Linked DNA regions of Saccharomyces cerevisiae S288C. The gene in region 1 interacts genetically with each later gene. Each region holds a gene or a part of one and is shown on either strand. Other genes may lie near its edges.

Region 1 (11,146 bases):
GTTCATATGATGCTATCTCCCGCTTATCTTATTAGTCGAAAATGGGGAGAATTTCCTATTTTATCTGTCGTTTAGCACATATGGCCAGGAAAATACATAAGGTTTCGCCGAACGACGGGGTCAATTCGTCCTTTTTGTACACATCGTTTAATTTATGAGGAAAAATTGATGAATGTATCCTCCGTAGACGCTCCTCTGAAAAGTTTCATGTTTCCTGCGCGTTCCTTTGATAGGCAATAAAACAATACAACGCGTGCCTTTGAAAATGCCAAGATCTATACGAGGCCTCTAACAAAACATCGTTCAGGAACAGAGAATGCTAGAAATGCAAAAGGGTCCCTGGGTACTCATTGAATAGAAATGATTGAAAATACTGCGTATAAAATAGCACGACTAAATGATACTATTTTTATGTCGACACGGTACTATTTCTTCTTTTTCAGATAAAAGTGTAGCATACTAAATATATACCCCAAGTAATGTCTAGAATTAGTATATTAGCTGTCGCCGCAGCATTAGTGGCAAGTGCAACCGCCGCATCCGTGACCACCACTCTATCCCCTTATGATGAAAGGGTCAATTTGATTGAATTGGCTGTTTACGTTTCTGATATTGGCGCCCATTTATCTGAATATTACGCTTTCCAGGCTTTGCATAAGACTGAAACATACCCACCTGAAATTGCCAAGGCTGTTTTTGCCGGTGGCGATTTCACCACCATGTTGACTGGTATTTCAGGTGATGAAGTGACCAGAATGATCACCGGTGTGCCATGGTACTCTACTAGATTGATGGGTGCTATTTCCGAAGCACTTGCGAATGAAGGTATTGCTACTGCAGTACCAGCTTCTACCACAGAGGCTTCTTCCACCTCCACTTCAGAAGCTTCTAGTGCCGCCACTGAGTCTTCTAGCTCCTCTGAAAGTTCAGCAGAGACCAGCTCAAACGCTGCTTCCACCCAAGCTACTGTTTCATCTGAATCTAGCTCTGCTGCAAGCACCATTGCAAGTTCTGCTGAAAGTTCTGTTGCAAGCTCTGTTGCAAGCTCTGTTGCAAGCTCTGCTAGTTTTGCCAATACCACAGCTCCAGTTTCTTCTACATCTTCTATCTCAGTCACTCCAGTGGTCCAAAATGGTACTGACAGCACCGTCACAAAGACTCAAGCTTCCACTGTTGAAACTACCATAACTAGTTGTTCAAATAACGTCTGTTCAACTGTGACTAAGCCAGTCTCCTCCAAAGCTCAATCTACAGCTACTTCTGTCACATCGTCAGCATCTCGTGTTATTGACGTTACCACTAACGGTGCTAACAAGTTCAATAACGGTGTTTTCGGTGCCGCTGCTATTGCTGGTGCCGCCGCTCTATTGTTATAGTGATCATGTGCGGCCCTGTACAGTTGTATAAATGATGTAAAATAATTGAATTCTCTTAATTTTAATATTTATAAGATATATACTATAAGCGTAAGGAAATTCCAAAGAAATTTGTTTTTTAGTTTGCAGTCTTGTGCTCCAACTATTTCCGGTCCTTTTCGAATTTCATGTCAGGAGCATTCCTTATTGCAGACAGCTTAACAGAAAAAAAACTGTGAAAAAAATAAATACCTTTAGATATTAAAGCCCTAAATTGATATCAAATTTTTTCCATATTTGGATTTTGTATTCCTTAAAGCCCACATCCTGTGAACGGTTACGCTCAAATAATGGCCAAGTAACCTACGATCCAATAGCGACGTATATATATCATATAGAAAAAGGTCATCCAGAAAATTTGTGTCAATAAGTATCAGGTCTTTTATATGTATTTATATTATTTTCCGTCAATTTTCAATCTTGCGCCCATAGTTTCAATTTTCTTGTCTGTTGTGATTCCTGATTGGACATTCTGAAATCCTTGTCCAGCTAAAATAAAGTTAGCCAATTCTGGATACTTTTTTCTTACTTGCTTGAAAGCACTATACATGTAGCCATATGGAGGAAGCTCCTCACCTTGAAAATTAGCAATGACTTTTTCGATAAAAGGAGTAGAGATGGTCCTTGCAGGCTTTCCTGATATTATATTAACCATTTTAGTTGTTGTTTCTCGAGTGAAGGGGCTTGAAAAGTTTTTTGATGCATTGGATTCACTGCAACCAAGAAAAGCAGTCCCCACTTGAACAGCGTCTGCTTGCTGTGATAACATGTATGATATATCTTTGGAATCCATTATACCACCTGCTGCAATGACAAAGGGAGTAGCATGTATAAGACCTTTATTTTTCATTTCAGCAAGTTCATCAACTGTTCTTTTCACCAATTGTACAGTTGATAAGTTTTCATCATCTTTGGGGTCATTTACTAAGAAATTTCCTCTATGTCCTCCCGCTTCATAGCCTTGACACACTATGCCATTAATGCCGAGACGTGCTAACAATCGAACTTCTCTTACAGAGGTGGCAGTCACAAAAATTAGAATTCCAATTTTTTGTAAATATTCTATTGTAGATTTCGACGGATGGCCAAAATGGAAACTAATGATTTTAGGCCTAAAGCCATCTGATAGGTACTGGAAAAAATCTTGAAGAGCATTTTCTTTTTCAAATGCCTTAAAAGATACATTACCATTATCGAATTTAATCTCATTCATATCAATCGGCACATTCATAGACTTTCTGTATAGCTTCGCCCAGTTAGCTGTTTGAAGATCGGTCGGTTTATCAACGATATCATGGCAAAAAAAGTTTAGGTTGAGATTGCCCTCTAAAGATTCATCGGCTACTTGATCTCTGAATTGTGAAACCATCAGTTTAAGCTTTTCAATATCATTGACCTTTCTGAAGTCTAAGTGGGATAGGGGTAGTGAAGCTATGGCGCCCGCAATACAAGCCTTAGCGGCCATTTCAATAGTCGTGACCCCCGCCATAGGGGCCTGGATGATAGGGTATCTCAAGTTTAAACATTTTTGGAAAGATCTGCTCATATCTTCTCTTTTATCCACCGACATTACGGAAACGTCTTGAAATATTAGTTGGTTTAAAAAGTACATGAATTGTCTTGAGTTGCTTCTAAGGTATGTATGGGCCCTTTTCTATCCGCGCAAAAGATGTCCTTGATACCGATAGGCCAGCACTAGATGACAAGAAAAAAAACGAAAGGATAATTGCAGGTTTCGACATACATTTTTTATCAGATCACTGCAAAATCCAGGAATTCATATATACAATGTCAAAGGGTATGTTATATTCTGACATGACCCCTTAACTCAGTAGAAAAAACGCTCTAGTTTTATTCTTTTTAACTTTTAATTACTTTACGTAGCAATAGCGATACTTCAGTTCAAATCAGTAACAACCCTTGACCAATTGCCATGCTCAGTCTCGCCATATTGGATTCCATTAATCCATTGTGCAACTTCTTTGGCCAATGGACCGGTTTGTTCGCCGGGCAACAACGGAATATTAATTTGTTCGCCTTTCCAGCCGATTTCCTTAATGGGAGAAACAATCGCAGCAGTACCAGAACCAAAGGCTTCAAGTAGTTCACCGTTCTTGGATCTCTCAGTAACTTCGCCTATAGTGAAGTAGCGTTCACTAATGGTCCATTCACTTGGTTCGAGTCTTTCTTTAGCAAGATTTAAAATGGAATCCCTAGTAACACCTTCCAAAATGGTACCGTCTAGTGGAGCAGTAACTAGTTCCTTCTTGCCCGTTTTACTATCTTTAAACACGAAAAAAGCATTCATGGTGCCGACTTCAGTAATGTTGTTATTTGGACCAAATAGCCATAAATTTTGTTGGTAACCCCTTGAAGCAGCTTGCAATTGTGGCAGGACGCAGGGGGCGTAGTTTGCACCTAGTTTCTTGTCACCACAGCCTCCTGGCCAAGCTCTTGTGGCATAATCAGTGGCTTCCAGTCTGACCGCCTTAAATCCAGTTTTGTAATAAGGACCCACAGGGCAGCAAATGACATATAGCAAGGCTCTATCAGGCGTGGAAACCCCTAAACCGGCCGTAGTGCCGATTAATGTAGGCCTGATATATAAAGAGTAACCTTTTCCTTCAGGAACTAAGCACTTATCTTGCTGGATCAGTTTCCCAATTAGGGTAATCAACTCTTCTGGGTCGAACGTTGGCAAACAGATTCTCTGAGCAGACTTATTCATGCGCTTCATATTCATATCTGGACGAAACATTGTAATTTTGTTGTCCACCGTTCTGTAAGCCTTCATCCCTTCGAATAGCTCAAAAGCATAATGGAAAACCACCGCGGAAGGGTCTAAAGACAGATTTTGATAAGGTTTAATCTCTGGGGTACCCCACCCTTTTTCAGCTGTCCATTCCGCAGTTAACATGTGGTCCGTGAAGCTCTTGCCAAACACTAACTCACTGTTCGGTTTTGGCTTAGATGCATGTTGTGTGGTAGTTATCTTAACTTTGGAGGCGTCTAGGGGTGCCAAGGTCATATCGTTCTTAAAACTCGTGGAGATGCTTTCCCTTAAATTTCTAAAATTTTAGTAGTTAGTCTGTTTTTATTAAGGATTTCTCAAAGGAATGAATTTTTTCCCAGGAAATAGTCGAATATCTTGTAAGCTTATATTAGTTATACTGTCAGCTCATTTCGGATCTCCTCTCACTCACGTACGGCTCTTAATTTCTACCTATTATTTCCGTTTTTGTTGACAGAAAAACGGACATAGAAGAACGACACCAAAAAGAAAAAGAGTCGGATCTACAGATTAGATAACAAGAGGTGTCAGAGAGGGAAAAGAAGCTAAATTAAGTGTCACCCGAAAGCGGAAAAAGAACGCCGTTTGCAAGAATGGTTCCGGGGCCAATGGAACATTAAACTTTGGTGTAGTGCGGTCACAGAAAAAAAAAATCGTACACGTATATAGTGGTATGCTAGGTCGTGAATGACCCTCAGAGGCAGGTTTTCACGTTCGAAGATGTTTGGAAAGGAGCGTTATAAGTTGTGTTGGGGTGAAGGGGCTAACTAGGATGTCACTGAACCCCAACTGCAAAAAATGGTGGAAATAATAGCGAGAGTAGTTGGAGGGAGCAATGCTGGTATCTTGAGGGGAGACGGGTCTGTTAATAATGGCTATTACAGGAAAGCTTGGGAGTAGGTTTCTCAGTCTCTTGAAGTAGATGAGATGTTCTTGTTGCATGTTGGGCGACACGGTGACGAAAAGAAGGTCGTATGCCTCGGGATGCAACTGCGGGTGCCACTGAGTGGCCGTATCCAAAGAGCAGTTCATAAATTCGAACACGCCGGCGAAGCGCATCAAAGGTGTTTCTGACAATTCGGATGCGTTTGGTATTAGTAACAGCAACGAGTAGCGTTTGGGGCGCTTTGGTTGGCGTTGCTGGTGTTGTAGACAAGAGTCCGGGCATACAACCTTTTTGATGGCTTCAAAATTTTCTTGAAGGAAGTTAGCGGTTTGGTAGGCGTGAAACTGGTGGTAGGAGATTGTCTGTAAGCTGGCGTTAATTTCCCTTATAATACGCAGACTATCTGCGTTTGTCGACTTAAGCTCATCAAGATTGCCCTGAAGCCTGTCAACATTTTTCACTAATTTCTCGAAGGAAGGCTTGCCGATGGCCTTGCTTAGAATGGAGTTCACTTTGAAAGGGTCCCAGTGAAAAGTACACTGCTTATTCATATTATTGACGGCGGCGACATTGGGAGTGGCGGCAGACTGATGAGCTTTAACCAGTGAGAGGCTATTAATGTTATCTTTTTGAAAATGAATGTTGGAAAACTCCACGCAGTCCGGGCGGCCCGCCTTCTGGAAGTTATATTTGCTCAATTGCTTAACGAATGCTGCAAAGGTGTGAATACCAAAAAATCGCTCTAGGATGACTTTGGTGAACTGGTCCGGATTCCAAATGACGAGCTTGCTGCCATCAGTCGACCATTGTATTATGTTCGAGTAAGCGTTCCCCTGCAGCAGGTGGTAGAGTTTGCTTACAAAGACATCAGGCTGCTCCATCCTCGATGTTGCATCCATGTCTGACGTGCGTCGCTACACGAAAGAGACACACTTGGCGACTGCCCTGACTGGCAATATATACAGTCCGCAAATGTCGCGGACTGATGCGTCCACTTACTCTTCCTATATACCACCTGGGTGAAGAGGAGAAGTGAGCCCGTTCTGGAGATATATGTCCAAATATTTGCAGATCCAGTTTTGTCATTATAATGAGATGCCTTTTGGGCGACAAAGTTCGGGTAAAAGAAGGACGGGTCCAGGAAGGCCGTGGCCACAGAACAATGCGCAGAGAAGATTTCCGGTTTCTTTTTGGCTTTTCCGACTTTCATCTTTTAGAACTAAAGATTTCCTGCATCGGTAAACCTTAGCAATGTTTCTCTAGAGGGTTTTTGCACACCAGACACGTCGCACGTGCTCTTGCAGAGACTGCTGCGCTTTCGTTTACACTCAGATAACATAGTCTAGCTAGCTTGCTGTCGTTCGGCACGAGATCTAATCCTTCTCCTGGCCTACCGTCTGTGCAACCATTAGTCATGATTACGTGTGTTGCGCCTTATCTTGTCATTATGGCAGCATACTTTTCGTAGTCCTTTCCTGCGCAGCTTGTCCATTTTCGTCATTACGTAAAAAGTCCTAATGGAGAGCTGGGTACTGCATTTTTTCGATGTTTTCAATATTCAGTTCAGCAGGAAATAAACAAATAAACAAACATTAAAATATCCTGGTTTTTTTTCCCAGAGACGCGTGGAAGCACCCATGCATCCACTATTTATTTTTAAACAGCCGTACATTCTGTAATTTTGCTTCCTTTTTCTTCCTGCGTTCTTTTTTTCTTGAACTGTCGTTTTCCGTTATTTTTTTCGGTGACATCAGTTGAAAGTAGCAGCGGCCTAGGCCGGGAGGCCGTGTAGCTCTTTGTAGTCGTGGTAAGGGGGAGTAGCAATTCACTTAGTACGTGGTCTTGGAGTTAGGCTGGCTCGGACTGGCCCTGGCAAGTCCTGTTCTGTGTGGTAGTATTGAAATTTCAGAGATTGTCGGCAATACTAGTATATTAAAAATTATACTATAATTTAATCTAGTGTTGAAATACTTTCTTATATAGCGATTTTTCTGCCCAAAACAAACCAAAGAATCAATACGCAAAGATGGCTAGAGGACCGTATGTTTGACTATAGACTTTGATTATAATTACGCAAGGATGAGAAGAATGATAGACAAGAAACAAGTGGAGTCTTAACCAAACGAATAGGAACAACAATGAACCAGTTTATGTCCATTTAATTTTAGATCATCCTGGGATTGTACAAATATTTTACGAGTAATGATTTACTAACGAGCACAATGAAAAAAATAAAATGTCTGTATCTTCATTATACATTCATTTTTGCCCTTTTTTCTCATTTTTTTCCGTACAGAAAGAAGCATCTAAAAAGATTAGCAGCTCCACACCACTGGTTATTGGACAAGTTGTCCGGTTGTTACGCCCCAAGACCATCTGCTGGTCCACACAAATTGCGTGAATCCTTGCCATTGATTGTCTTTCTAAGAAACAGATTAAAGTATGCTTTGAACGGCCGTGAAGTCAAGGCTATCTTGATGCAACGTCACGTTAAAGTGGACGGTAAGGTTAGAACCGACACTACCTACCCAGCTGGTTTCATGGATGTCATCACTCTAGATGCCACCAATGAAAACTTCAGATTGGTCTACGATGTCAAGGGTAGATTCGCTGTCCACCGTATCACCGATGAAGAAGCTTCTTACAAGTTGGGTAAGGTCAAGAAGGTTCAATTAGGTAAGAAGGGTGTTCCATACGTTGTTACCCACGATGGTAGAACTATCAGATACCCAGACCCAAACATCAAGGTCAATGACACTGTTAAGATCGACTTGGCCTCTGGTAAGATTACTGATTTCATCAAGTTCGATGCCGGTAAGTTGGTTTACGTTACTGGTGGTCGTAACTTGGGTCGTATCGGTACTATCGTTCACAAGGAAAGACACGATGGTGGTTTCGATTTAGTTCACATCAAGGACTCCTTGGACAACACTTTCGTCACTAGATTGAACAATGTCTTCGTCATCGGTGAACAAGGTAAGCCTTACATTTCTTTGCCAAAGGGTAAGGGTATCAAGTTGTCTATTGCTGAAGAACGTGACAGAAGAAGAGCTCAACAAGGTTTATAAATTTCATAACAACTTAATTATTTTCTTCTTTTGTATATCTCCATTAATGTTTATTAGAAATTGAATTTTAAAATAATACATCGTATCTTCCTTTTTCGACTGGCAGTAATATAACGTATAATATATATATTAGGTGTGTGTATATATATCCGTATTGTAATATTGATAGTAAAAATACGCTAACCCTGAAATAGAAGGCGTATGATAAGACGTACTGACACTACGCACTACCACAATATATGCGTATGTGTGTGTGTGTGTGTGTGTGTGTGTGTGTGTGATTGTATTGGAATATATATACTTACTAAAATTAGCTTATATGGTTCGCATATTGACTATTTATAAGGATATTCAACTTGTCTGTCCTTTCTTAACCAAATTTTCTTCTTTCTCTTGGTGGTAACATGTTCCACAAACTTCTCAGTACAATGATCCACTTTGAATTTCTTTATGAAAACAGGGTCCCATAATTCAGAACCGACGCCGAGATCTTTGCAACACCTCATTAATGCATTACTTTTGCAACCTTCTGTAGCAGTTGGTATGCCGGCTTCGTTGAAATAGTCTTGTTCGCCTCTTGCCACACTGATCAATTGACCATGGCAAATAAGACCGTACTCCCTAGTGACCAGCTTGGATGTCACTATTGTTTGTGATCTTGGCACTAGCCCCCAACCGCCTGCGCCAAAAGCTTTGTTCAGTATTCTACGGTATTTAATTTCAGGCAAGTATATCAAACCATCTGGCTTGATTTCTATATCCTTAGGGTCCAGAGGCTCGATTAGATCCTTTTGCACTTTTGCTTCAAAGGGCTTCATACCTAGGCCATACCATGAAGTATACCAGTCAATGTCTCCCTTGACTTGCTTATAACTATTGTTCAAAGAATCATCGGCGGTGCTGCGGGTTTCCAAAGGGGTCCCGCCGAGTTTAGAGTTAATGCCGCTTGAATATTCCTTCATGTGGCTTCCATTGCCAGCTTCCGATTTTGTTGCAAATACAGGCTTGGTTTCGGTACTGTTGAAACTTTTCCTCACTGCACCGGCTGTTGCGGTGTTACTAGTGCCGGTACTCACCACGGTTCTTTTTTGGCAAAATTGAGCAGCATGCGATACACATCCTCTAACCTTGAAAATGCTTTTCATCGTACGCTGATCTTCCTACTTGTCCTTTCTTTCCTTTTTTAGTCTCTACCGTCTTTTTAAATAGTTTCTTCCATTATTCTGTCGATAAATTTCGTGATGTTATTCGTGTATTTCTTGACAAAAAAAATAAAAAATGAAAAATATGCATAATGAAACGCGCTTTATCAAAACTACTCACTCGAATCCTTACTTCTATATTAACTGTACTAAGAAGTTTGTCGATACATATTTTACCAAGATATTTTCTGACAGTCCACAGAAGTACAGATGTCTGTGCCCAAAAAACGTAACCATGGGAAGTTACCACCTTCCACTAAGGACGTAGACGATCCTTCGTTGAAGTACACGAAGGCCGCGCCTAAATGTGAACAAGTTGCTGAACATTGGCTCTTGCAGCCACTACCGGAACCGGAATCACGTTATAGCTTTTGGGTAACAATTGTTACCTTATTAGCGTTTGCTGCTAGATTTTATAAGATCTGGTATCCAAAAGAAGTTGTTTTTGATGAGGTACATTTCGGGAAATTTGCATCGTATTACTTAGAAAGGTCTTATTTCTTTGACGTTCATCCCCCTTTTGCTAAGATGATGATTGCCTTCATTGGTTGGTTATGTGGCTATGATGGTTCCTTTAAGTTTGATGAGATTGGGTATTCTTATGAAACTCATCCAGCTCCATATATCGCGTACCGTTCTTTCAACGCGATATTGGGCACATTGACTGTACCAATTATGTTCAACACTTTGAAGGAACTGAATTTCAGGGCTATTACATGTGCGTTTGCATCTCTCTTGGTTGCAATCGATACTGCGCATGTTACAGAAACTAGGCTGATTTTACTGGATGCCATCTTGATTATTTCTATTGCTGCTACTATGTATTGTTACGTTCGTTTCTACAAGTGCCAATTGCGTCAACCTTTTACATGGAGTTGGTATATTTGGTTACACGCTACTGGTTTGTCTTTATCCTTCGTGATTTCCACAAAATATGTTGGTGTTATGACATATTCCGCTATTGGTTTTGCTGCTGTGGTCAACTTATGGCAATTACTGGACATCAAGGCGGGTTTGTCCTTGAGGCAGTTCATGAGACATTTTAGTAAAAGGCTGAATGGTTTAGTTTTGATTCCATTTGTGATTTACTTGTTTTGGTTCTGGGTTCATTTCACCGTTTTGAATACTTCAGGTCCTGGCGACGCATTTATGTCTGCTGAATTTCAAGAAACACTTAAGGACTCTCCCTTAAGTGTTGACTCTAAAACCGTCAATTATTTTGATATTATCACTATCAAACATCAAGATACTGACGCATTCTTACATTCTCACTTGGCACGTTACCCACAACGGTATGAAGATGGTCGTATCTCATCCGCTGGTCAACAAGTTACTGGTTACACGCATCCTGACTTCAACAATCAATGGGAAGTGTTACCACCCCATGGCAGTGATGTCGGTAAAGGACAAGCTGTTCTATTGAACCAGCATATAAGATTGAGACATGTAGCCACCGATACCTACTTGTTAGCCCATGATGTCGCCTCCCCATTTTACCCTACCAATGAAGAAATCACTACAGTAACTTTAGAAGAAGGTGATGGGGAATTATATCCTGAAACACTTTTTGCATTCCAACCACTGAAAAAATCAGATGAAGGTCACGTTTTAAAGAGTAAAACGGTTTCTTTCCGTCTTTTCCACGTTGATACCTCCGTAGCTTTGTGGACTCACAACGACGAGTTGTTACCGGATTGGGGGTTCCAACAACAAGAAATTAATGGTAACAAAAAAGTTATTGATCCTTCAAATAACTGGGTTGTTGATGAAATTGTTAACCTGGA
Region 2 (3,487 bases), on another chromosome or scaffold:
TTATTCTTTTTCATTCGTAAAACATCTAACTTCATGAGACTATTCATCAGGGGATCTTTCTTTTTCTCCATCCTCTTGATATCTAACTGGTCATAGTTCATGGCCTCGTTTAATATTTGTTCGACTTTCCCGTTAAGTTCTTTATTCTCATCCTTTAATAAAATTAAATCTAGTTTTAGCTTCAGTAGCAGACTTGGGCTCGTATTGATACAATGTGCACAGTACACTACATGCGCTCTATGGTGGCAAATTGGGCAATGCATGTCATACTAGGATTCTAGTTTTTAACTTTTACTTCCCTTTTTCTCTACTCGTTATCCTTCTAATCACTTTTGTATTTGGTCCTTTCCCTTAATTTTCAGCGAGGAAAAAAGTGCTTATTATCATTAAAATACAAATAAATAAATAGTTTTTTAACTAGACGTAAGGAAAACAATTACACGTATTATTTAATAGTACAAAGAAAAAAAAAGTCAATACATATTCATCATTGGCATTGCTTATATATTTTCGGCCTTTAATTTTTTTCTTATCAAAATTCCACTCTTGAAATTTATTATCCAATCCACCATATCTTGATCGTTAGCGGCTTTAAAAGATAACCTTTCATCAAATGTAATTAGCGCAAAATTAGTGTCGTCATTTTTCATCTTCGAATTATTATCAAGTTCAATACAATCGATAATTTTATCCAATTTAATGCTTTTCTTTAACTTCCCAGTCTTGAAAGAGTATAAATTGAACGAAGTATTAGTCAATTCCACATTGAACTTTTGCCATTTAGCCCTATTGAACAGTTTCTTCTTTTTCACTTTTGTGTAAAGAATCCCAGAACAAACCTGGTGCTCTGCATTTCTTGGATCGAACATCCTATAAAATTCTTTATCTTCACGAGACAGTTGCTCATCCATCGTCAAACTGCAAGAATGCTTGCTGCTAGAAGGACCCGCCTTTTCGTCAACTACAATTAAATCATCATCATCCTCTTCTTCATCATAATCACTACCTGTAGTGACACTTTCGTTGCCACTAGGACTAGAGAGGAATTTTTCAAGGGCAATTTTCCAATTATGCATCAGTTCCATACCAACCTTCTCATTTTGCCCTCGTGGAAATTTGAATATTAAATCCTTGGATGGAGTATAAACAGTTAATATACCATCGAGCTCGCTTATCTTAAAATTAAGTATGTCAAATCTCGGTATGACACTTATAGCCTCTCTTTCATCCCGAGTTTTGTAATAGGCAAATTGGTTTTTCCTCAAGACACACCAATATTGATGGTCTGTTGTCCGAGGCCACCATAAATGACGATGGTGATGATGGTGATGATGGTAACCCTGCGGTGCACCATCAGCAGCTCCATTGTTACCTGAACTGGATTGAGCTGTCGGCGTTTTATTTTGAGACGTTGATGGCTTCTTGATGAGATTCGATGCGATCAAAATTTCATGCTGACTTGACGGAGCAGTCGCACCTGCTATCATTGGTCTTATGAAATTTACCAAGGCAAAATTAGCGTAATTATTTATGGTTAATTCACCTACTGGCTACTATTGCGTACCACATTTTGGCCTGTTCGTTTAATTTCAGCCACATTATAGTAGAGAAAAAACCGTTGTGAGTGACCGAAAGTGAAAAATATGGATTCGTGTCTATAAAACCTTAGAGGCATCTATTTACTTTTGTTCTATTATCTAAATGAATCCTATATATATACTCCCTTGTGTCGGCATATTCTAGGATTGGGCCCCGTGAACAACCATACTATTTCCCTTTTTCTTATGAGTGGAGGAAACAGTTCTTGTAACACCGGGAGGCACTGAGATTGTGGGAGATGTACTTGGATCGTTATTATGCGTTACATTTGTTTTACTACTGCTCGAGCTTGGTTTTCTTACTGAGGCAGTTCTTTTAACACCAGGCAAAACCGGGGATGCAGATTTTGGAATAGAACCCGATGACAGCAAAGGCGACGCAGTATAGAAACTTCTTCTTTTATTGTTACTGCTATTACCATTGGAGGATGAATCGTTTGTGTTCGGCGTCTTTCTTAATTTGACCATCTTAATAGGAAGCATATCCTGTGCATTATTGCTACTCAAAGCGTCAGCGTTGTTGCTTTCCACCTGGGTTTGTACATTCTTCTTCAAGGTTTGTACTACCGCGCCTTTATTACTAATCTTCTCATCGTTTCTTTTCAAGACGTCTTTCAAATCCATCTTTTCAGCAAAAGTTGATATCAGATTTTCGTTCGTCTGGTACAGATTTAGCCAGCTTTGTAGATTTAACTCATCTAAAGAGTGAGTGATTATCTTGCTTAATTTTGAATCCTTTTCTGTTTCCAGAGATTTCAAATCTTTCACAGAGTCATTGAATTTATTTAAATTCAATTCTATATCTGAATTTGAACTAGTATCTGAACCATAATTTAAATTTTGATTACTTAACTCTAACTCCAACAAACCGATTTTTTCATTTAATTTGGAAATTTCATCAGAATAGTGGTCTCTGTAAAGATTTTGTGACTCCAATAATGAATTATAGTTAACTTCCATATTTTGCAATTTTTCAGAGCAAGATTGTTCAATGGCACTAGAATTTTTCGCCAATTTACTCAATTGATCCATTTTCTCCTTTTGTTCATTGTAACGGTTACTCAATTCGCTATAATCTTTCTCTAGCTCTTTTAGCTTCTTGTTCTTTCTTTCAAATATCGAGTTGAGATTTTCGTTCTCGTTCTTCAGCAGATTTAAATTTTCCAGTAGTTTTGATTCTTTGGATTGTGCTAATTCCAATTTACTCAATAAATTTTGAGATTGCGTAGTCAATTGTAGATTTGTTTTTGTCAGCATATCAATCTGGTCATGCAGTGATTCAATGACTCTCGAAGATGAGGCATTTTGGCTGGAGGTATTTCTATCTTTTGTGGGGGAACTTTCCAAGTTTGCCATAAAAATATTATGGTGAGGTGCCAACTTGCTTGAAGAAGTCTGGGTATTATCCTGGTCCGACATCTTACACAAAAGTAGTGTCGTTGAACCTTGGCGTGCTTGATAGACGAGCTAACGTTTGGTAACCCCTTCAGACTGCTGCTACTCATGGCAACAAATCAATAAACAAAATGCAATAGTAGTTAGTAATGAAGCTCTCGCCCGAACAAAAGACGAAACGAGCGGGTAACTATTTAGCCTATTTTATTGCGATGACAATAATATGTAGTAGCAATAGGGAAATAGTTTCATTTGACGTGGAACCAAAAATACATTCTAAATCGTACAACTATTAAATTGATATATGAAAGACGGATATGAGACTACACTATATTACGGTTTTTGATCCATCAAGATCTACCAACGAAAATGACACTTTCAAGCAGTTGCTGCTGTTCCATTATTTTGGCACTACTGATTCAATACCCTCTTTAAACGAAAAACTGTCCATCATAGGAGTAATACAGGGCATTTGGTCACTTACGAGTTCATGC
Region 3 (5,937 bases), on another chromosome or scaffold:
ACAGAGGATTTTTTCATTCAACAACTTATTGTATTCTGTGAATTCAACACTGTTTCTAAATAGATTTCCAACCTTGAAAGTTTGTAATTGGTGTGGTTTGAAGGTTTTCATTTTATTCGGTGAAGATACGGATGTGCCTACTATAAGAATTTTCTTAAAAACATCTCTTTCACAAAGTTCCATATATTTTTCGATTTTCATGTTGTTTAATTCGTTGATTTTCAATTGCTTTTTTATCTCTTCAGGTGACAACATTTGTGTGGCATTAGTTGAATTTGATATTGACTCATTACTGAAAAGCGATGAAGATCTTCTTGGCCTCATAAGTGAATTTCCACTACTACTCCTACTTCTGCCAAAAATTCCGCTAAGACCACTACTTAACGTTTCTTTGGCAGCCAAGAATGAACTAGAGCCCCCGCCAGAAAAATAATAGCCATTATTATTCGCTGAACTGACGTGCTGGAATGATGCTTTATCAAATTTTATGTAAAAGCTTTGGAAAAGACTAGACAATTGCAGTACTGATAGTGGCCGTACGTACTTTGGCTGCTTTAGGTCATCAATAAAAATGTCAATTAATTTTGATAATTCTGGAGGTAAATTGGTGACAGTGTTCAACGCTTCGTCAATTTCTTGTTTTGTCAATATAGGAGACTTATTGTTTTCTAGCCTTTCTCCTGTTGTAGAGTTTTCATCACCATCACAGCTACTTCTCTCATTGTCATTTTGATCCTCATGTAGATTTTGTTGAAATTGCATGCCGCCAGTTGTGTTCTTGTATGATTCCCTGATGGATTGATTAGGGTCAAACCTTGGATTGGTTATCGGAGGAGTGAATAATTGTCTAGCCATTTGACTTTTATTGTTAGAGGGCGTACTTCTTTTTTATCTGCTCTTCTTCTTGGCTTCTAAAAATACCTTTTGCTCTAAGGGGAATGATGATTTTATGAGTGTCTATAAAGCCAATTCTCTTTCTGCCCAAGATATTAAACACCACACCAATCCGAACAAAATTCAATAGACGAACAACAGTAAGTTTTAATCTATTTTTGCTTCAATGATGCGTTTGGTTGGGTCTTTACTGGAAATCAAATAAGGCTCGGTTATTTGCACACTTTTTTATCCGGGAACCGCTCTTTTACGAAAGCAAATTTCAAAATGTATGTAATACGAAGGCATTAAATTATTCAACAACGGCGCTCGGATATGATTTATATTACACGTCTAGAACGATTAGCAGATAGTAAAACTAGTGGCACGTTTAAATGACTTTTTCATTCCATGAGTTCCCGGTTTGCAAGAAGTAATGGCAATCCCAACCACATTAGGAAAAGAAATCATTCTCCAGACCCAATAGGAATTGATAATTATAAAAGAAAAAGACTAATTATAGATTTAGAGAATTTATCCTTAAATGATAAAGGGCCCAAGAACGGACATGCAGATGATAACAATCTTATTCATAACAATATAGTATTCACAGACGCTATTGATGATAAGGTCCTGAAAGAGATCATCAAGTGTTCCACAAGTAAACGCGGCGACAATGACTTGTTTTATGACAAAATATGGGAACGTTTGAGAGAAAAAAGGCTACAAATAATAAAATGGGTAGATTATAAGGAAATTGCTTATCTAAGCTGGTGGAAGTGGTTCCATAATCAAATGACTTCGAAATACACTTATGATGGAGAGGCTGATACCGATGTTGAAATGATGGCAGTGGATACTGATGTGGATATGGATGCGTAACTTACTATTATTATAATATACCTATGTACAGGGCGGTTATTTATTTACACGTTCGTAGTATAGCATATAAGCATATTTCTGTTCATTCAAGACAGTTGAAGCGGTAGATTCCTTTATGGCGGTATCAGATATTTGCCAATAAGGATACCGCAGGGCGTTTTTGACTTTTTTATATCTGCTTTTTTTGTAATCATTATGTGCAACGTTTTGCTCGCGATTCTTGTTAACTTCATTGTTGACAACTGGTGCTCTTCTGAAGGAAGATTCATCCTCCTTCCCGAAACGAATTTCAGTCTTGCGTCTGTAACACATATAGTGTCCACTCGAATGAGAACCGGTGTGTTTCACAACACTTTTCAAATTATATTTGACTTGCCTGTTTTCTGTTATTGTCCCACTCTCAGCCAATGTATATTCAGAAAGTGTTATTCTTTCTCCAAATTTGACATTGCAGGGATTTCTAGAATATGTAATACCATTGAATGTGGATCTCGATAAGTGAACAATTAATATGTCTGGCAGTTGTACTACTACATCTTTTTTGATGACCTTTCCCTTTATATTAGATACCTGCAAATTGCCCTTTGAGTAACGCTTGACGTACTGTTCTACTTCGAATGGTAAATTTTCGTTAATTGGGGCTTTAGTGGCATAATTTTTCAATCTGTCCAACATTAAAATTTCATCCGGGGTACAGTCCTTGAAATTTCTATATTCTTCATGGTTTAAGATTGCTCTTATTTGGCAGATCAGGCATGAATAGTCGTCTATGATTTCTGTTTCATCGTGTGCTAGAATATTGGATAGATTCTCTGATGTTTGTTGTGGTACGGACAGTTCGCGGATGAAAGTCTGTTTGTATGATGGTTCTGATAGACCCTTGCATTTAAGGCATACTAGAAACTTGGAAGTCTCGCCCTCAAATGGAAACTTTGGTATATTCAAATTACATATCTGTTTACTGTAATCGATCAATTTTGATCGTTCTTCCTGTAATGTTTGTAGTAATATTAATGTAAATTCATGTGCATCATTTTGTTTGGATGAGATCTTTGATTTAAAGATGGACTCTAATGTGTTTATCACTATTTTCGGAGAAATTGACGTCTTACGATCTTTTACAGATATCAAATCCAAAATTAAACTGGTAAGACTTTCGTGTAAGGGGGCAAGTGAATTAGACGAGTTTTCAAGTCGACTATGCCTTGTAGTGTTATCAACTGTAGGATTGTCGCCTTTTGCATTATTTGACAGCTTAGTTTCTAATTCTAGAAGGACCGTTCTTATCCGTTTCAAATATTCTACAAATCGAGGTATTCCAGCCAGGCCTTGCAAAGATGATGTTATGAAGCAATCATTCCCACGATTAATTAAGCCCACTGTCGTGTACTTCCCAATACTCTGCTTAGAATCCCCAAAGACTAGCGCACTTAGGCTGGGTGCAATGGCATATAGAGAAGCAGCAATTATCAAACCACATGAAACTTTTTTAATCAGTGAAGTCGGAGATTCTGTTACATTTTTTATCCAAGACATATTGTGCTTGTAGTAACTGCTGTACCTTGCATATACTGTTTGGGCAGAAGGAGAAGGTCCAATTAGTTGTTGGAGGGTATGGCGCTAACGGTCAAGTGTTTTATAGCTGGACTTTGCTTTCCCATTAACTCAAACGTGTATATAAATTGAGATTGAAGAAGAAACTTTGAATCTAGGTTAACTGGGTGCTATTGATTTATTTTTTTTATTTCACCCAAGTATATTATTTTGTTTTCTTTTTTTATTTCATTTTTTTGGGGCCAATATAGTAAGCAAAAATCCGGAGAACTGTATTGAATATCGTTCTGAGAAAACTAATTGTAAATAAGAAAGAAAAATATCAAATCATAAGGGAACCGAAGTTAGTTTTTCTTTGATAATACATAGAAAGTACATAGGTAATAAAATTAGATCAGAAGCAAGAAGTTGAAAGGGGAAAATTCCTTCTCATACCTTTCTTTGCCATTAAGACGCTCCCTCTCGTTCAGGAACCATTACTACCGAATTTACTAGACCACTCCTCATATTTTTGTAGAGATTCTGACGACACGCTCTTTTTTATTGTCAACAGAGCATTCTGAAAATCTTTTATTTCAATTCCTCTGATTTTATCAAAATCCGCAAACATCAACTTATCTCCTAAATCTCTAATAGGTTCCATTGCCGCTTCTTTGGCTAATGACGTAAGATCAGAACCAGAAAACCCCTCGGTCATTTCTGTTATTAATTCATAGTCTAAATCTTGCAGGCTATTTTTCTGCTTGGCCATTAATCTCTTCAAATGATATAGTCTAGTTTCATAATCTGGTAAAGGAATGTATAGTTTCCGTGAAAATCGTCTTCTTGCTGCATCATCAATCGCCCATGGCAAATTCGTTGCTCCTAAGACAAGTACTCTGCTGTCAAGCGTATTATTTCGGTCTTCCGATTGTGCAGTAGCACTAGATAGGGAGGACCACTGAATAAGAAGTTCTGTTTTAATTCTCCTCGAGGACTCATTTTCATTATCAGAGCGAGCTGTTAACATAGAGTCAATCTCATCTATGAAAATAATTGAGGGTGACAATTTTTTGGCCATGTAAAACAATGCTCTAACCAGCTTCTCAGATTCACCGAGGTATTTCGATAGCAAAGAAGATGCACTTACACTAAAAAATGTGGAATTGGACTCTGTCGCAACCGCCTTAGCAATCATTGTCTTACCTGTACCTGGTGGGCCGAACAAAAGCATACCTCTAACAGGTTCTCTTAGCCCTTTGAATAAGTCAGGCCGCAGAAATGGGTAAACCACTGCTTCTTTCAAAGAATTCTTCGCATTCCGTAAGCCTGCGATATCCTCCCAATAAACTTTTTCATCCGTAACAAGAATTTCATTAAGTATCTGTTCACAAGCGTTTCGATCTACTCCCTGCACTGATTTTAATATATCCTCCTTTCTGGAATCGAGGGATGAACTAGCAGAGCTTTCCTTATCGGGTGTACCACTTTTAGAACGCATGGGTTTGGATTCAGCAGGTACCGCTGTCGCTGAAACGAGTACTGGTGAACTAGGCTCCAAATTTTGCTCATTCCTACGAGAAACTTTGTTAGTATTGGATTTACTAGCCTTCAGCTTGCTATTTGTGGGTATATTCCGTGAAGACTTGCTGTTTTGCCTGTTAAGAGTAGGTGATTTTATAATCGGTCGATTAACTGTTGGCTTTTTGTAGTCATACCTTTTTTTCAAAGGTGGTGTTGGCTTATAACGTATCTGAAGTTCATTTGAATGCGATCCGTTGTTACTCACTTTTGAATGATTTGCCCCGTTTTGATACTGAGACCAGGCTAACTGCGCAGCCATACCTATTTCTGCTGCCTCCATTGATTTTCTTACTGGCGTTCGTACTCTTTCGCCTGAAGTCCGTACAACGTCAAGTGATCTTCTTTTAATTAGGGAGTTGTCAATCTTTCCAGAAGATTTGCTACTGGAAGAGAAGTTGTCGAGGCTAGCCCTTGATTTGTAATTTGTTTTCCTCTCATGTTTCAGGGTTGATATACGTTTTTTCTCCGCTTGTTCTCTATGTTTGCGTTCTTCTTCCTCTCTCTTAACTCTCTCCTCCTCCAACTTTTGGGCCACTTCAAATTCGACCTTTTCTTTAACCTTTAACTCGATCAATTTTTCCCTTTGAAGTTCTAAGTCCCTCTCATACTGAAGTTTTGCTCCTAACTTTTTCTCTTCTTCTAATTTCCTAGCACGTCTGATATTATCAGCCTGTTTGTTGATTTTAGCCTCCTTTTCGTCAGCTTCTTTCAATTTATCTCTTTTGGAACCCATTCTCCAAAGTTTTGGAAAACGCAAACCATTTCCTGTCCCAAGGCCCAAAACGGAAGAGGAGGATGACAAAGAGGGACTACCGTTTCCTTCGGCCATAAGCGTTTCTGCTTTACGACGTGCGATCCTTATATCCTGGCCAAGAATTTGGAAATCCTCAATGATGCTCCTCAATTCAGGATGATCAACTACAAGATTTCCTAACCCTTTCTTTAAGGTATAAGTCTTTTCAATTTTTCGTAGACCTTCATTGACGTATACCAGTAAAGTGTCTAAGTTTTTGTGGATTTTCCCATACGTTACTGTGTCCTTATTACCTTTGCTATTGATTATTA

The links.
Region 2: mutations in MGM101 (region 1) and OPY1 together harm fitness more than expected from each alone (negative genetic interaction), as found in Saccharomyces cerevisiae (one large-scale study listed by BioGRID).
Region 3: mutations in MGM101 (region 1) and UBP16 together harm fitness more than expected from each alone (negative genetic interaction), as found in Saccharomyces cerevisiae (one large-scale study listed by BioGRID).

The regions. Positions count from the first base shown.
Region 1 is NC_001142.9:699,041-710,186, reverse strand, and holds MGM101 (Mgm101p), read right to left. Parts: upstream 9,306-11,146; coding exon 8,496-9,305; downstream 1-8,495. Other genes in the region: DAN1 (Dan1p), read left to right, coding at 480-1,376; YJR149W (putative nitronate monooxygenase), read right to left, coding at 1,813-3,027; branched-chain-amino-acid transaminase BAT2, read right to left, coding at 3,313-4,443; HMS2 (Hms2p), read right to left, coding at 4,915-5,991; YJR146W (uncharacterized protein), read right to left, coding at 5,949-6,302; 40S ribosomal protein eS4 RPS4A, read left to right, coding at 7,119-7,132, 7,389-8,160; PMT4 (dolichyl-phosphate-mannose-protein mannosyltransferase), read left to right, coding at 9,573-11,146. UniProt on the Saccharomyces cerevisiae protein: Performs an essential function in the repair of oxidatively damaged mtDNA that is required for the maintenance of the mitochondrial genome. Binds to DNA.
Region 2 is NC_001134.8:493,853-497,339, forward strand, and holds OPY1 (Opy1p), read right to left. Parts: upstream 1,488-3,487; coding exon 501-1,487; downstream 1-500. Other genes in the region: ATG14 (Atg14p), read right to left, coding at 1-263; SHE3 (She3p), read right to left, coding at 1,740-3,017; CCZ1 (Ccz1p), read left to right, coding at 3,311-3,487. UniProt on the Saccharomyces cerevisiae protein: Binds phosphatidylinositol 4,5-bisphosphate (PtdIns(4,5)P2/PIP2) at the cell membrane. Negatively regulates the activity of phosphatidylinositol 4-phosphate 5-kinase MSS4.
Region 3 is NC_001148.4:415,866-421,802, reverse strand, and holds UBP16 (putative ubiquitin-specific protease UBP16), read right to left. Parts: upstream 3,292-5,937; coding exon 1,792-3,291; downstream 1-1,791. Other genes in the region: guanine nucleotide exchange factor MUK1, read right to left, coding at 1-855; YPL071C (uncharacterized protein), read left to right, coding at 1,285-1,755; putative AAA family ATPase YTA6, read right to left, coding at 3,776-5,937.